Mytilus edulis: one gene and its partner. The protein of the gene in region 1 interacts with the protein of each later gene in a pairwise test. Links are inferred from orthologs where the notes say so. Each region holds a gene or a part of one and is shown on either strand. Other genes may lie near its edges.

The links. The genes of interacting proteins can lie anywhere in the genome.
Region 2: the proteins of WD repeat and FYVE domain-containing protein 2-like (region 1) and PRA1 family protein 2-like interact in a two-hybrid assay, tested with the Caenorhabditis elegans proteins (2 studies listed by BioGRID). The link is inferred for Mytilus edulis from reciprocal best matches to the Caenorhabditis elegans genes wdfy-2 and praf-3.

The regions. Positions count from the first base shown.
Region 1 is NC_092346.1:51,581,107-51,588,184, reverse strand, and holds the start of WD repeat and FYVE domain-containing protein 2-like, read left to right. Parts: upstream 1-4,072; 5' UTR 4,073-4,108; coding exon 4,109-4,257; intron 4,258-5,518; coding exon 5,519-5,586; intron 5,587-6,556; coding exon 6,557-6,630; intron 6,631-7,078. UniProt on the Caenorhabditis elegans protein: Plays a role in coelomocyte endocytosis.
Region 2 is NC_092344.1:23,143,742-23,151,078, forward strand, and holds the start of PRA1 family protein 2-like, read left to right. Parts: upstream 1-4,335; 5' UTR 4,336-4,361; coding exon 4,362-4,540; intron 4,541-7,337. Other genes in the region: uncharacterized protein, read left to right, coding at 1,472-1,999.

The sequences.
Region 1 (7,078 bases):
ACCTTTACTATGAAAAGATAAAGAATAAGTGAATAGCCCATCGTCATCAGACAAGTGTAATGCTTCAGGCAGTGCATTCTTTTTTGTTATTCATTTTTTTTGTATATATATATACATGTACCAGTTATCTTATTATAATTAATCATTTTCAATTATGTTTGGTATATGGACAGAGTGTAAGGTGTACATATCAGAATAGCAGGTTTTATTTGACTTTGATCTCTTTTCGTGGTTTATTGGTCAATGTTAAGTTTCTGTGTTATGGTCTGTTTCTTCGATACAAAAAACAATGGGTCCACTATATTTGGTAAATTAAATGATTGTTATGTGTACATATAAAAAAGAAGATTGCCAATGAGACAACTCTCCACAGGAGACCAAAATGACACAGAAATAAACAACTATAGGTCACCGTACGGCCTTCAACAATGAGCAAAGCCAATACCGCATAGTAAGCTATAAAAGGCCCCGAAATGTCTGTTTGGCAGAGTTCATCAGACCTTGACATACTTTTCATGGTCCATTAGACAATTTTACGTTTTCATGGTTATAATGTCTTTTTTTCAAATACTATATGTATAGGGATGAAAGTGGCATTAAACACCAAAATACCAATAAAATCAACCATCGTGTATTTCAGACGTTTCCTACACCTATTTTGGTTTGGTAAACAAGAATTTATGAACTGGAATTTTAATTTGACTAAAGTAATGTTTTGCAAAACATATATGTTACTATCTTATTGTATTATGACTGATATATTTGTCATTGGACATGATGCAGCGTCATCAAATAAAACGTCTTTTTGAATGCCTTGTATATAGAATCTTTTAATTGGAATTTCAAATTAACTAAAGCAATGTTCTGCAACACATTTATGTTGCTATCTGTATGTATTATGATTAATGTATTTGTCGCTGGACACGAAGCAGCTACATCAAATGAAAATTCTTTATGAAAGTCTTGTGGATTAGATACATTTATTGAGAAATATTCTATAATGATAGCTATACATTTTGTAAAAAGAGGTACATGACAAATAAGTATAACAAGACTACGATGTAGGATTGCAAGGGTTATAAGCATGATATGTTGGGCCTACGTTTTTTAAAATATCTTTTATCTACATGCTAGTTTGTTTTATGTTATGTGTACATGTTATATGTCTTACTTCTCCCTTCCCTGATACTAATGAGGGGCCTGATTTGAGGGGGGGGGGGGGTCTCATCACGATTCACGAGTTGATTTTTTTTTCAATCACGATTCACAGAAAATAAGTTTCCATGATCACGGATCACGAAAATATAAAAAAAAAATCTGTAGAAAAACGGCTCACGACAGGCCTGAAATGCGCCGATCAAGAAGAATGAAAATAACCCATCAGGTCCCCGGATCACTACTTTACAACACATGTTGAAATAATCTCAGCTTCATCTTATATGAGAGTCTATATGGGGTTTAGAGAACTTAGTTATGAATAATGGCAAAAAAAAATGAAGAGAGAAAAAAATGGCAAAATATTAAAGGATAGAGAATAATCATGTGGTAAATTGAAACGGTGGAATTACAAAGTAAAATAAAAGAATTAATTTAAAAAAGACAATACTGATTACAAAAATAAATGTTGTACAAAATAAAAAAAATCATCTAATTACAGAACACATCTTTTTTCATCGGATACACTTAGAAGGAATTAAACGTCTTATTTTTAAAGATAAAGAAAAATGCCCCAAACAGTTAAAGAAGTTTAGAACCTCCCCATCAAGATGCTCTTATATGATAGGCCTATATCAGTCAGATAAATAGCTTATTTTTTCTATTGATATAGCGAGAGACATAATATATCTATAGATATATGTGTGTGCAGATTCTTGTCTCCGAAAAACACTCCGTATATATATTTAAAGGCACATATTAGCTACGACATATATAAAAAAAATCTAGTAAGAATTGTGTTTGTTCAATCATTACTAAAAGTAAAATAGTGAAATAATAATTCGCCTTGAGCAGCCAATTTGGGGTCAAGCTTGTCAAAATAAGCACATAAACATCACTGGTGAATTATTCACTTGGAAGGGAGTGATTCGGCCTTATTGAACCAGTACTGATATGAGTTAAGCGCCGTTATAGCCGGAGATGGGTTACGTAGCTCAGTATTAAAATGAAAAGAATCAGTGTACAGGCGCGTAGCAACCCGTACGCAAAAACGCAGTTGCGTACACATCGAAAATTTGACAAAAATAAAAATATGATAAATCTAGTTAGAATAAAACTTAAGTAATAGAATTAATTATAAAGTGTTATAAAAATATGTTAATAGTCACTTTGTAACTATATTTCGTTCCGGAAACTAGTTTTCTCTTTACATTTTCGGGACCAGCATCGTGATTGTGCTGCTGATGCAAACAATTAAAATAGCTGAGTCCTCGGGGTTTCAGAATACAATAAGTGCGTCTACTATGCCTCCTTACCCTGAAATATTTTCTGAAGATTTCAAAATGACTGATGAAATAAAACGTGATGTTCTATAATAGGGCAATATTTTTGCAACCTATTCGCCGTTTTTTTTTTACGATCAACGTGTTTTTTACTTGTTTATCTTATGTTCGGTCCTGCAAGATGGGTGCCTCGTCCATTTAATTATACGTGTCTTGAGATTAAAAGTGCTTATTCTCCATGTGCAAAATTTTAAGTCCTTGTTTTCCTTGCTTTGTTAAAATTAAACGATCGTTTTTGGAAGTTGATAAAAAGAACTCAGATTTAGTTTTGAAGTTTTTCCTTGTAGATTTTGGGACTTTAAAAGTATTTATACAAATGTAAAGTTAAAGGTTTCCAAACTATGATGTTATAAACAAGGATTTATACCCGGAAATCTTTAAAATACTTAACATATAATATGCATGTATGTCGGTATGGACGACAACGATAGAACACTCTTTCAGTACCATGAGACGACTAACGAAATACAATGAAATCCATTCCGTTTATCTGGGCTTGTTCTATTGAACATATACCACGAAAAACAAATTTTAACAGACACGGTTTTGGATAACTGGAAAGGAAATGGTCATTGTTTCAGAACTAACTTTGAAAATTAAAAGCTAAAAGAAAGACTGCTTGTTCTCTTATAAAATAAAACAGAGAAATGTGATTCGATTTATTTATGTATTTTCTCAATAAAAAAAAATACCCTTTAAGGCTTAGAAATTTGGATTTTCTCAGTGAATGAATAGTAGGTTGAGACTGATTAGGTAGCAATTAAAATATATGGTGGTGACACTATATATTTTAATTGTTACCTAATATATAAATAAGCACTACCCACTACACATTAGAAGTTTTTTTTCTCTATTTTTTTTTCAAATTTAATTATTTTCAAAAGTTGACTTGTTACTCATGAAAATAAGATTTCTGTGAGGTCATTTTCAGTCCCAGGAAATCGCGAGAATGCAGGATTTTGCACCATTTACTCTAGAGCTTCTGTGGCCCCAGACTCCTCGCCGTATGACTTCTTTCCCCGGCATTGCGTACACATCATTTTGGCCTAGCTACGCCCCTGGTGTAAACATTGAAAGTGAAACCATTTGTTTCACTGAATCGATCAACAAAAAATCATCATTATTCAGGTAAAAACGTTCAAGGTGATAAACATACCTTAAACCTACATTATGAAATCTAATAGACCTAGAAAAACTAATTGCATGTGGTCGTTATCTATTTATAAGTTATGGCAATGGGGTTATATGACCGTTGACAGTCCTCGGGGTCATCTCGATGAGGTACTATAGTATAAACAAAATTATACCGTGACGAAATGTTGATGCATACACTGAAGTTTATAACAAGTCAATTCAGTGTTAATTGTTTATCAAAGTTTACGGAGACATTTTATGATTGGATACTTTGATTCGTTGTAGGATGTTATAGATCAAATATGAGAACTTGGGTCAAGTGAACATGAATTTACAGCCAATGTCTCTTTAAAAAGTTAACCATTTGGATACTGAGGAATTTATGACCGGAAACTTTTCATCGCTGTTTCTAACAAATTTGTTTTTATACTGACAATTCTATAAATAGAATTTAATTGTCACGTGATGATAACAAAATGGCAGCAGAAATAAAGCCATCACAAAATAAGCAAGGAAACACAAGAAAACCTGTTCTAATAAGTAAATTAGAAGGTTTTCAAGATGACGTCAATATGGCAGTTATAATCCCTCGGGAAGACGGAGTTGTCACTGTCAGCGATGATAAGTAAGCTGTGCTCAAAATTTGACAGGTGCCCGTTGTGTACATTGTTCATTATAGCCAATCCAATCCGGAAGCTGTTGCTACCAAGTACAAGCATCGTCACCATTTACGCCTCTTGTTACAAATCTAAATAAACTTGATGCTTTTGCCTTGAATAACACTTATTAAACCTACTGTACCGTGTTCATTTGGTTTTGATAAAAAAAAATAAGGGGTGGGTACTGTTTTCAAAGTTATGCTCATTGATGCTTTTAGCCTTTATGATTGTTTGTATGTCTATATATACAAATGTATCAGTTTTATTAATGTTTGTCACTGTGAGACATAATTGTTCAGTGACATAATAGGTTCGCCATAGGACATTTTAACCACTGTCCTTATTTATTTGATTTTTTGTATGCCTGCACCGTTGGGCAGCGTAGCAAACTTTTACTCTTCTCCCTGCATCCCATAATTGGTTTCTGTTCTCTAACTTTAGTTTGCCTCAACATCATGTTATAAAACTTATACACAATGCCCATGTACACAAAACACAGATCAAGTTTGAGATTTTAGTGGCATCATTTTTACCATTCTCGGGTTATGTCCCTTTACAAATGTAAAAAATGCTGATTTTTGTTTGTTTCTGCTCTCTCATGAACTAATTGAAACCTATAGACAATGCTTAACAGTTCTTGAGTTATGAACCTATATAATGTTAAATTTCTGTAATTTATAAAGAAGTTATGATAAAGATATTTAATGAAAAACAATGAAATTTATGACATCTGACAACCATTGACAAAGTTCCTAACTTGGGATAGGCACTTATCTTAACTATAGTTAAGTTTTATGAAATCTCAACCCTGTCTCCTTAATCTTTACCAGTAGATTGTATGATAGGTACATACAGGAACATACAATAAAAATAAGGAAAGGAAAAGCACTATACAATAAAGCAAAGAGAAATGTTTAAGTCACTACAGGAAGGTTGTGAATGCCAACAAGATTTGCCGTAATCCATTTTATTATCAAACTTTATGGGAAAATTAATCAGGAAGAAATTTTTCTGTTGGTTTAGTTTTTACAGTTTTAATAGACATGTTAAGAGATGCATTGAATCAAAAAGAGACCAAAGCAGAAAGGAAAAGTTTCACTTTTGGCCAAATATGGCCTTGAATTTCGAGTTTGTCATGAATTTTCAGTTTAGATTATTACAATTTCTGGAGAATAATTTTCTGTAGGAAAACTAATAATTTATTCTTAATTTTTTTTTTATCTTCAGGACATTAAGAGTATGGTTAAAAAGAGATACAGGACAGTATTGGCCAAGTATTTGTCACACATTGCCTTGTAAGTTGTATAAAATGAAATATTAGTGTCACTTCAGATTTGACAGGCTTCACCTCTGTATAAATTTGATGTAGCTAACAATGTTCTAGATCTCTTCTAGACTACATTCAGTAGTTAATTCCATCATCCACAATATAGATTAACTAAAACAAATGTGTGTACCAAATAAGAGATACAATGCATGGTGATTGATTGATTGATGACTAATTTTGAATATTTATTCCATAACTTTTGTTGTTCAAATTTGAGAAGGTAAAGGTAAAACTAAAAAAACTAAAAAAATATGAGTTTCCCTTTTTTGGAAGAATGAACAGTTTAAAATCTTTTTAGAAAAAAGGAGATGGGGTATGATGGCCAATGAAATAACTCTCCAAAGGAAACCAAATTACACAGAATTAACAACTTTAGATCACAGTATGTCCTTCAACCATGAGCAAAACCCATACCGCATAGTCAGTTTTAAAAGGCCCAAAAATGGTAAAAGTAAAACAATTCAAACGAGAAATTTAGCAGCCAATAATTGTGTACAAAAACAACTTTAGAAAATTATTTTTGGAAATTTGGCTGACTTTAAAAATCAAAACATGTTACTAAGCGAAAAGTAAGCATTCTTGTATACAAATTTATAATCACTGCATGAATAGGTATGTGTAGATTTTGATTATTGGAAAGCTACAAAAGAAGACTGCCTCTGGCCTTTGTTAGTCTTGTATTATTTTTAATTTTAGTTTCTTGTGTACAATTTGGAGTTTAGTATGGCGTTCATTATCACTGAACTATTATATATATTTGTTTAGTGGCCAGCTGAAGGACACCTCCGGGTGCGGGAATTTCTCGCTGTATTGAAGACCTTTTGGTGACCTTCTGCTGTTGTCTTCTCTATGGTCGTGTTGTTGTCACATTCCCCATTTCCATTCTCAATTTTATTGTTATTTTAAGATAAATGCATAAAATATGATAATTGTTACAGCTGAGGCAGCATCATTAACATACAATGGAGAAACAAGGAGACTATTTGTTGGATTAAATAATGGAACTATTTCAGTAAGTATATGTATCAAATCCTCATATAATGTGCCCATTCAATGTTAAAGTATGTTATTGCGAACCCTATCATAGTTTTCCATAGATTCACCTGCAAGTTACCTGTCCATTTAAACTTTTGTAAGTTCTATTGTCCCATTGAACAAATACAACAGGTATTGTTCTCTGTATAGTTTATTTGATGCGACCTTTAAATTTCTTCCAAGAGAAATCTATCACTCATTGATTAATTTACCTGATTAAAAAAAAATTCTTCCAAATAAATGAAAATACACTTGTAATTGTTCAATATACCCTGGTTGTTGTTTTTTATTCTTCATTCAAAACTGAGGTTTTGTTATGTTTTCATGAAAGGATGTCAATAGTGTATTTATTAGGACAGAAATCAATATAATAGATGCCCAAGGTGTATGAATGTATGTTTTTTGTTTATTTTTCAAATTTTGTA
Region 2 (7,337 bases), on another chromosome or scaffold:
GACCTTTAATTTCCAAAAATCTGGCAATTCTTACTCTTTTATGTAGTAAGAATACACCAATAAGTAGTTTGTATGTATTTAACTTGCTGGAAAAGATATTTTGAAAATTTAACTTTGCCATGGTATTTTGACCCCCCTGCGGTATATTGAACCCCCTACTCTAGACCTTTAATTTCCAAAAATCTGGCAATTCTTACTCTTTTATGTAGTTAGAATTCACCAATAAGTAGTTTGTATGTATTTAACTTGCTGGAAAAGATATTTTGAAAATCTTACTTTGCCATGGTATTTTGAACCCCCTGCGGTATACTGAACCCCCTACTCTAGGCCTTTAATTTCCAAAAATCTGGCAATTCTAACTGTTTTATGTAGTTAGAATTCACCAATAAGTAGTTTGTATGAATTTAACTTGCTGGAAAAGATATTTTTAAAATTTTACTTTGCCATGGTATTTTGACCCCCTCCCCCTTTTTTTACCATGGAAAATCAAAACTACCCTTATATATATATATATACATATGTTATAATTACAAATAATTAAAGCATTCAAGCTACATATGGTCTAGTTATAATGTGTCAGTAAGTATTTTGAATGACATTTTGTTGGTAAAGACTTCAGAGCACTTATACCAAGCAAAGATATTTCTTTTAATTAAGCATTGAAAATGTACCTCCCTTGCTTGTATGAATGATTTTTTAATCTATGATGAGCTTTAGAATAATGTAAAATGTTCTAATATTCATCTAGGATGAAAAAAACAGGGGGGTTCAATTTACCATGGGGGTTCAATTTTCCATACAGGGGGGGTTCAATTTACCATGGGGGGGTTCAATTTACCATAGCGGTATTTTGACCCCGGGGTCAATTTACCATGGGGTTCAAAATACCATATGACACCGGCATAGTCTATGGTCCGCAAATATAAAAAATCATCAAAAAGACCTTAGGAGGGTATCAGGTCCGTTTGCGCCCAATATACTTTCGCACCCTACACGTTCGCACCTCGCACGTACGCACCCAAGGTCCGTTCGCTCTCTACACGTTCACGCCCAATTTTAATTCAAATTCCAGTTGAATAATTGGAAAATCATAGATTGTTGTTTTTAATTGCTTTCGTGTAAATACTGAATATATTTATAGCTTGGTATGAGTAAAAGATTGAAGATTCTGAAACAATAAAATATAGCAATACACTATTATAACCAAAACATGATAAAATTTATTCAACACACACAAAAAAAAAAAAACGTAGTCAGAATCTCACTTCATTTTGAATCAAGTCAATGAAACAAAGTTACAGCAATACACTAACCAAAACATGATTAAGAGTTATTCAACACAAAATTAAACGTTGACAGAATCCCACTTTATTTAGAAAGGAATATCATTTTTATCACAATACACTATCCAAAACATGATTAAGATTTATTTAACACAAAAAAAAATGCTGTCTCACTTTATTTTGAGACAATGAAAACAATAATACTTATAAGAACTATAAAAATTGAAGAACCATCAGAAGTAACCAGGCAGGATATAAAACGTGCAGCAAGAGAAAGTGTTTTAAGAAAATGGCAGAACCAATGGGAATCAAGTCAACGTGGCAGAAATTATTATAACTATCATCAAAAAGTTTGTCAAAAAATACCAAAAGATTTACCATCCAAATGGTCGTTTTCAATTATTACTAGTTTGAGAACAGGTTATTGTGATCTAAATGATTACAAATCCAAAATCATACCATCAACAGACAAAAATTGTTCCTGTGGAGAGCCAGAAACTGTAGAACACTACCTTTTACATTGTTCTAACTATGAGGAGGCTAGAGAGAGGATGAGAACATCTATTTACTTCATAACAGGAAATATACATATGGATTTAGACACCTTTCTAGGAATCGATGAAGAAGACATTAATAGAGACAATCGAAATGAGATATTGTGCCATCTGGAAAATTATTTAACGGAGTCTGGTAGATTCAAAAACACTATACAGTAAAAAACACTATAATTCTAAATCAAAATTAAGTCAAAATTTTTTAAGCAGCAGCCACCATTTCAATTAATTACATGAGTGAACATTACATATGCAGGGCCGTAACTACATTGAGGCAAATGAGGCAAATGCCTCATGTTTGAAATTTAAAAAAAAACCAAAAAAAAAACAACCTGAAACAAAAAGATTGTCAAATTGTTTTGACGGAAAGTGTCAGTCTTGCAAGAAGCCAGTTCTCTTCACTATCTGGTGTAGCCCTTCATGTTTTTCGTGATCCATGTTTCTATTTTACGTTTAGTTATCAGAGTTGATGGTCTATTATTGTGTGTACTTCTATGTCCCGTGTTTGTCTTTTGTTAATTTATTGTCCTACTTAATGACTATAGTCTGAGTGTTGATTTCATTTGTAAACGTGTAGTTTTGCAATGTTGCATGCCAACCGATGTCCAGACAATGTGCGAGAAATTTTAAGAATATATGATGCTACAAGACACAGAAATGAATCTTTGTTTCTGCATGGAGAATTGAACTTGAAATCAAAGAGAACAAAACTGGCTTTTTTCGTAGATAAAACTAGAAAGCTGACATGGTTGAAATTGAAATATGGTTACCAATTCCACGGTATCAAAAAAATTGAAAAAAAAACAACAGCAATGTATTGCCATATGACCTTTTACATTGAAGGGTTACCCTTGCATTAAGTCATGTTCAGACTCTTTTAAGAGAAAAAAAGGAATATTGAGTACACGTGCACGGAACCTAATCGCACACAATGTCAATGTATAGAAAAATACGAATGATCAATTGTTAAAGTTTAATTCCTGTTCTTTATCTTGATAGTTGCTGGATGGTCTCCAACAATAAAAGAATCATTAAAATCGTAAAACAAGATCAAGATGGTCCCTAGTGTCGACTTTAACAGTACTAGTACTTAAAGTATAATACTGCACTGTCACTATATTTAAATCTAGTCATAAAAAAATCACCAAAGTCTAAGTACAATACAAGACAGACAGATTCGGTATTAAGGATTATGAGAATTACGATTTTTGCTTTATTCATCATATATATATCGATCTTTTTTTAATGTTATCCCTAAAACCTGAAAGTCTTAAAATACAATGATTTTTTGTTATTGCTATGAGACCAGAATATTGTTGAAAAAATAGCTCAGAATGCACGATTTTGCATTATTTTTCTCAGAGCGTCTGGGGGCCTTCAGCGCCCCCCCGACTCCTAGCCAAAAATTTTTCGCCTCGCTACGCTCGGCGAATGTTTTGCCTCACTTGTAAAAGAGGCTAGTTACGCCCTGATATGTGAAGAAACTACAAAAGAGGAAACGTAAACAAGTGTTTACAGTGTCATTTGGGACACTTACTAAAGACTAAAGATTGTACTTGCCAAAACTTGATTACAAAGTTATTAAACACAAAACTAATTAAAATTGGGCGCGAACATGTAGGGTGCGAACGGACTTTGGGTGCGAACATGTAGGGTGCGAAAGTGAAAAGGGGCGAACATGAGTGGGTGCGAACGTGAATGGGTGCGAACGGACCCGGATTCCCTTAAGAGCAACATAGCTAATTCCAGATCAAAGATAGGTGCAACTTTGAAAAGAAAGCTGAAAATATCAGATTAGGAAAGAATACAGGATATCTTGTTCCCTAGAAAAAGCTATATCTGCTTCGTATTTCACATGTACCTGTTTTTTCGTTTTCTCTGTTTTTATGATTCTTTTACCGGTTGTTGTTACTTGTTTTCTTGAATGTCATAACAAAGATCGAGGTGTTTCAAACGTTAATATCATTCGGATGCTATTATTGACAAGTAGCTCACACGATTTCAGAAGTGGCTACATCGGATGTCATCAGTAGTAGTACAAAGTTAATAAAAAAAATTGAAACAAAATTTAACCACAACGTACATAAATTTAGGCACTATACAGTTGCGTTCCAGTACTATAATTAAGCTTGATTTGAAATAAAAATTATCATAATATATTTATTTTGATCTAGTATTTATTGTGTAGTTATGTTTTGTAAGAGAACCGTTTTATCATTTTGTTAATTTTTGAAAAGTTGTAGCGTTTTGTTATTTGAAATGCTGTACAAGAATTTGTTGTGCAGTATTTGATTCTATATGGATACAATCTCAAAGTGTATAGTTTTTTAAATTGTTGCTTATATCATAACAAACAAATTAAAAAAATATATATATTCATATTTGCTTAATAAAAAAAATTCAAGCCTTTTGTTTATTTATTTTTAAAAATATTTGTACAAAAATAAAATAAACATAACATGTATTTCACCATTTGTATCAGTGTTGATATTTTAAAGCTCCAAGCGGCCTCTAAATTGACAGCATGGCTGAAGTACAGATTGCTCCTCTCCGTTCCATGAGTGATTTTGTATTGGACTCTGCTAGATTTCAAGTTCCTAACATCAAAGACGCAGAGAAATGGGCGAACAGAGTTCTGAACAATCTATTGTATTACCAGACGAATTATTTTCTGGTAGCTTTGATCGTCTTTTTATTGATTGGGTATGCATACAAAATCATTTAAAAAAAATATTTGTGAAACCGGTTATACTTTTCACCTTTTATATTTGTTTCAACTGATATTTGTATTGTCTTTAAACATGCGATCCAGCGTCTTAAGAAGACTTAACTTGTTAACCAGTCAGGGACTTACTTAAAAGTGATTTTCTAAATCACTGATTCAAGTAAATTGAGTAACAAAAAAAAAAACTAACATTACATTGTATGTCCACAAAGGTTGGAAGTAAGAGTTGTCTTTCTTTAATTATCACCTTTTTCAAGAAGTTCAAATAATCACTACACTACATGGTTTAATCTCATTCAGGGGTTTCATGATCTTTCATGTCGACTGGTACTTTCCCAAGGATCTCCATGGCCTGTTTAACGATGGCGCCCCACCATCGTTCAAATGTCTTGCGCCACTGTCAAATGACTCGCGCCATCGTTATATTGTCTTGCGCCATCGTTAAAATGTCTTCCGCCGTCTTTCAAAACTTCATCGTTTTTTTGTAGCCAGACGCCATTTTTTTATCAATTATAATCAAATGCATGTAATTGCATAACCCTTAGGCTTTTTATGTTATAATCCAATACAGTTCTAACGCCTGAGGGATATCTGGATTAAGATCGCTAATCACTTGTAATGTAACTGAGCTTGTACAGGTACATGTAGATCAACAAACCAGACAGGAGAATACTATCTGAGGATAGACGATCCATTTGTCGAATTAATCAACTAAGTTGCAGCAAATGATTATGATAATTTAGATTAAATAAATAAATTAATAATCCAGTTACAAAGAAAACAGTTTAAAAAGTCGAACACATGCTTTATTTTGACTTACGCAATCAGCATCCCTCTTTTTTAAGAAGTACAAAATAAGACGCAAAACAGTGAATATTATTTCATCGTAAATAACTCGAGTACTGCTGTAACAACAATTTAGAATTACAAGTTTAAAAGTAAAAACTTAAATATTTCCTGTGAAGAAATATCGTATCGCAATTCAGAATTCATTTCGTTTATTACAATCAAATTGATACATACGCGTTTCCGGTTTCTATTCAGATTCGAAAGATGCATGTTTCACAGCATCAATTTGCCAGATAAAGTCATTAAAAACCTTAACATTTGTCAACGTTTGCTTTACAAATCTCTTTAACTCTTAACATAACCCGTACGAACCGTTTTGTTAATTTGTTGCTGCAAATCAGCCATACCGGTAATGGGTTCTGAATTTGACAGTGTCCATGAAAAATAAGCTCCACATCATATGATTTTTAGCCCCCATAACAATTACCAAAAATACAAGAAATCTACATGGGGACCTTCATGACAGCTTTTGGTCATTCTCGACTAAGGGGGGACCATGAAGACTTGGCATTTGAATGGTTAAAAACGGCAATGAATGAAAATATTGATACTTCTAATTCTATAATGAAAGTTCAAATAAATCTATACTATTAAACGAGAAGACCTCATTTTGGGTGTCGCTTCTCTTCCTTCCACAATAAATCAATCATCATGCCTCTGTGTCCTATAGGTAACATGCATAGTCGCATTTGTCATCCATTCTTATGATTATTCAGATTGAGTTATTTTGGGAGAAAAACGACAAAAAAGGAGTCCGGATATGATTCCGTCATCAGACTGACTTTTAGTCATAGATAAGACTTCCGGTTTGAAACATGCACAAACACAACCAATCTTATGATAGATAACAAAAAATGAAAAATAAATAAGCCTATCAAATCGTTCTCCATGTCATGGTGTTTAGATCGCAAGAACCACAACTATTATAATACCTCCTTATAGAGGACAATTATTTTTCGCGTTTATCTACATGTAAACTACAATTATACTACTTTAATATATAGAGACTCTCTGTATTCTGTCTACTGTTTTTCTTTCAATTGTTTACTATTTAAGGGGTCATACCAGTTGCATCTATACTATTAAACGAGAAGACCTCATTTTGGGTGTCGCTTCTCTTCTTTCCACAATAAATTAATCAACACGCCTCTGTGTCCTATAGGTACAGTGCATAGTCGCATTTGTCATCCATTCATATGATTATTCAGATTGAGTTATTTTGGGAGAAAAACGAGAAAAAAGGCATCCGGATAATGTCCCGTCATTGGACGAAATTTTAAGTCAGATTAGACTTCCGGTTTGTGTTTTTCTGTATACATGTACTTTGAACAAATATACAAAGAATAAAGTGTATTTTCAGAATTCTATCTGCTATCATTTTCAAGTTTACTATCTACGGCGATCACAGAGTTTATTAAAAAATAATAATAATAAATAGAGAGGGTCTGTATACTCACGTGTGTTTACTATACCAATGACCACCATGAATCGATTAGTAAACTTAGAATTGAAAGTAAATAAACTATATTTATATAGTTACTGTAATGAATGTTCATAATATACAGATAAGCGCTATAAATATTCATGTGAACTTTTGATACCTTTTCTAAAATTCTCCAGTCATTAAATCTTTTACAAAATTCATTGATTACAAAAGAAAAAGAAGATGTGGTATAATTGCCATGTTGAGACAACTCTAGATAATCGCTAAAAATATTCATGTGAACTTTTGATACCTTTTCTAAAATTCTCCAGTCATTAAATCTTTTCATTGATTACAAAAAAAAAAGAAGATGTGGTATGATTGCCATGTTGAGACAGCTCTCCACAAGAGACCAATATGACACAGAAATTAACAACTATAGGTCACCGTACGACCTTCAACAACGGGCCTTATTTGTGCACAAAAAATGAACGAAAAACGAA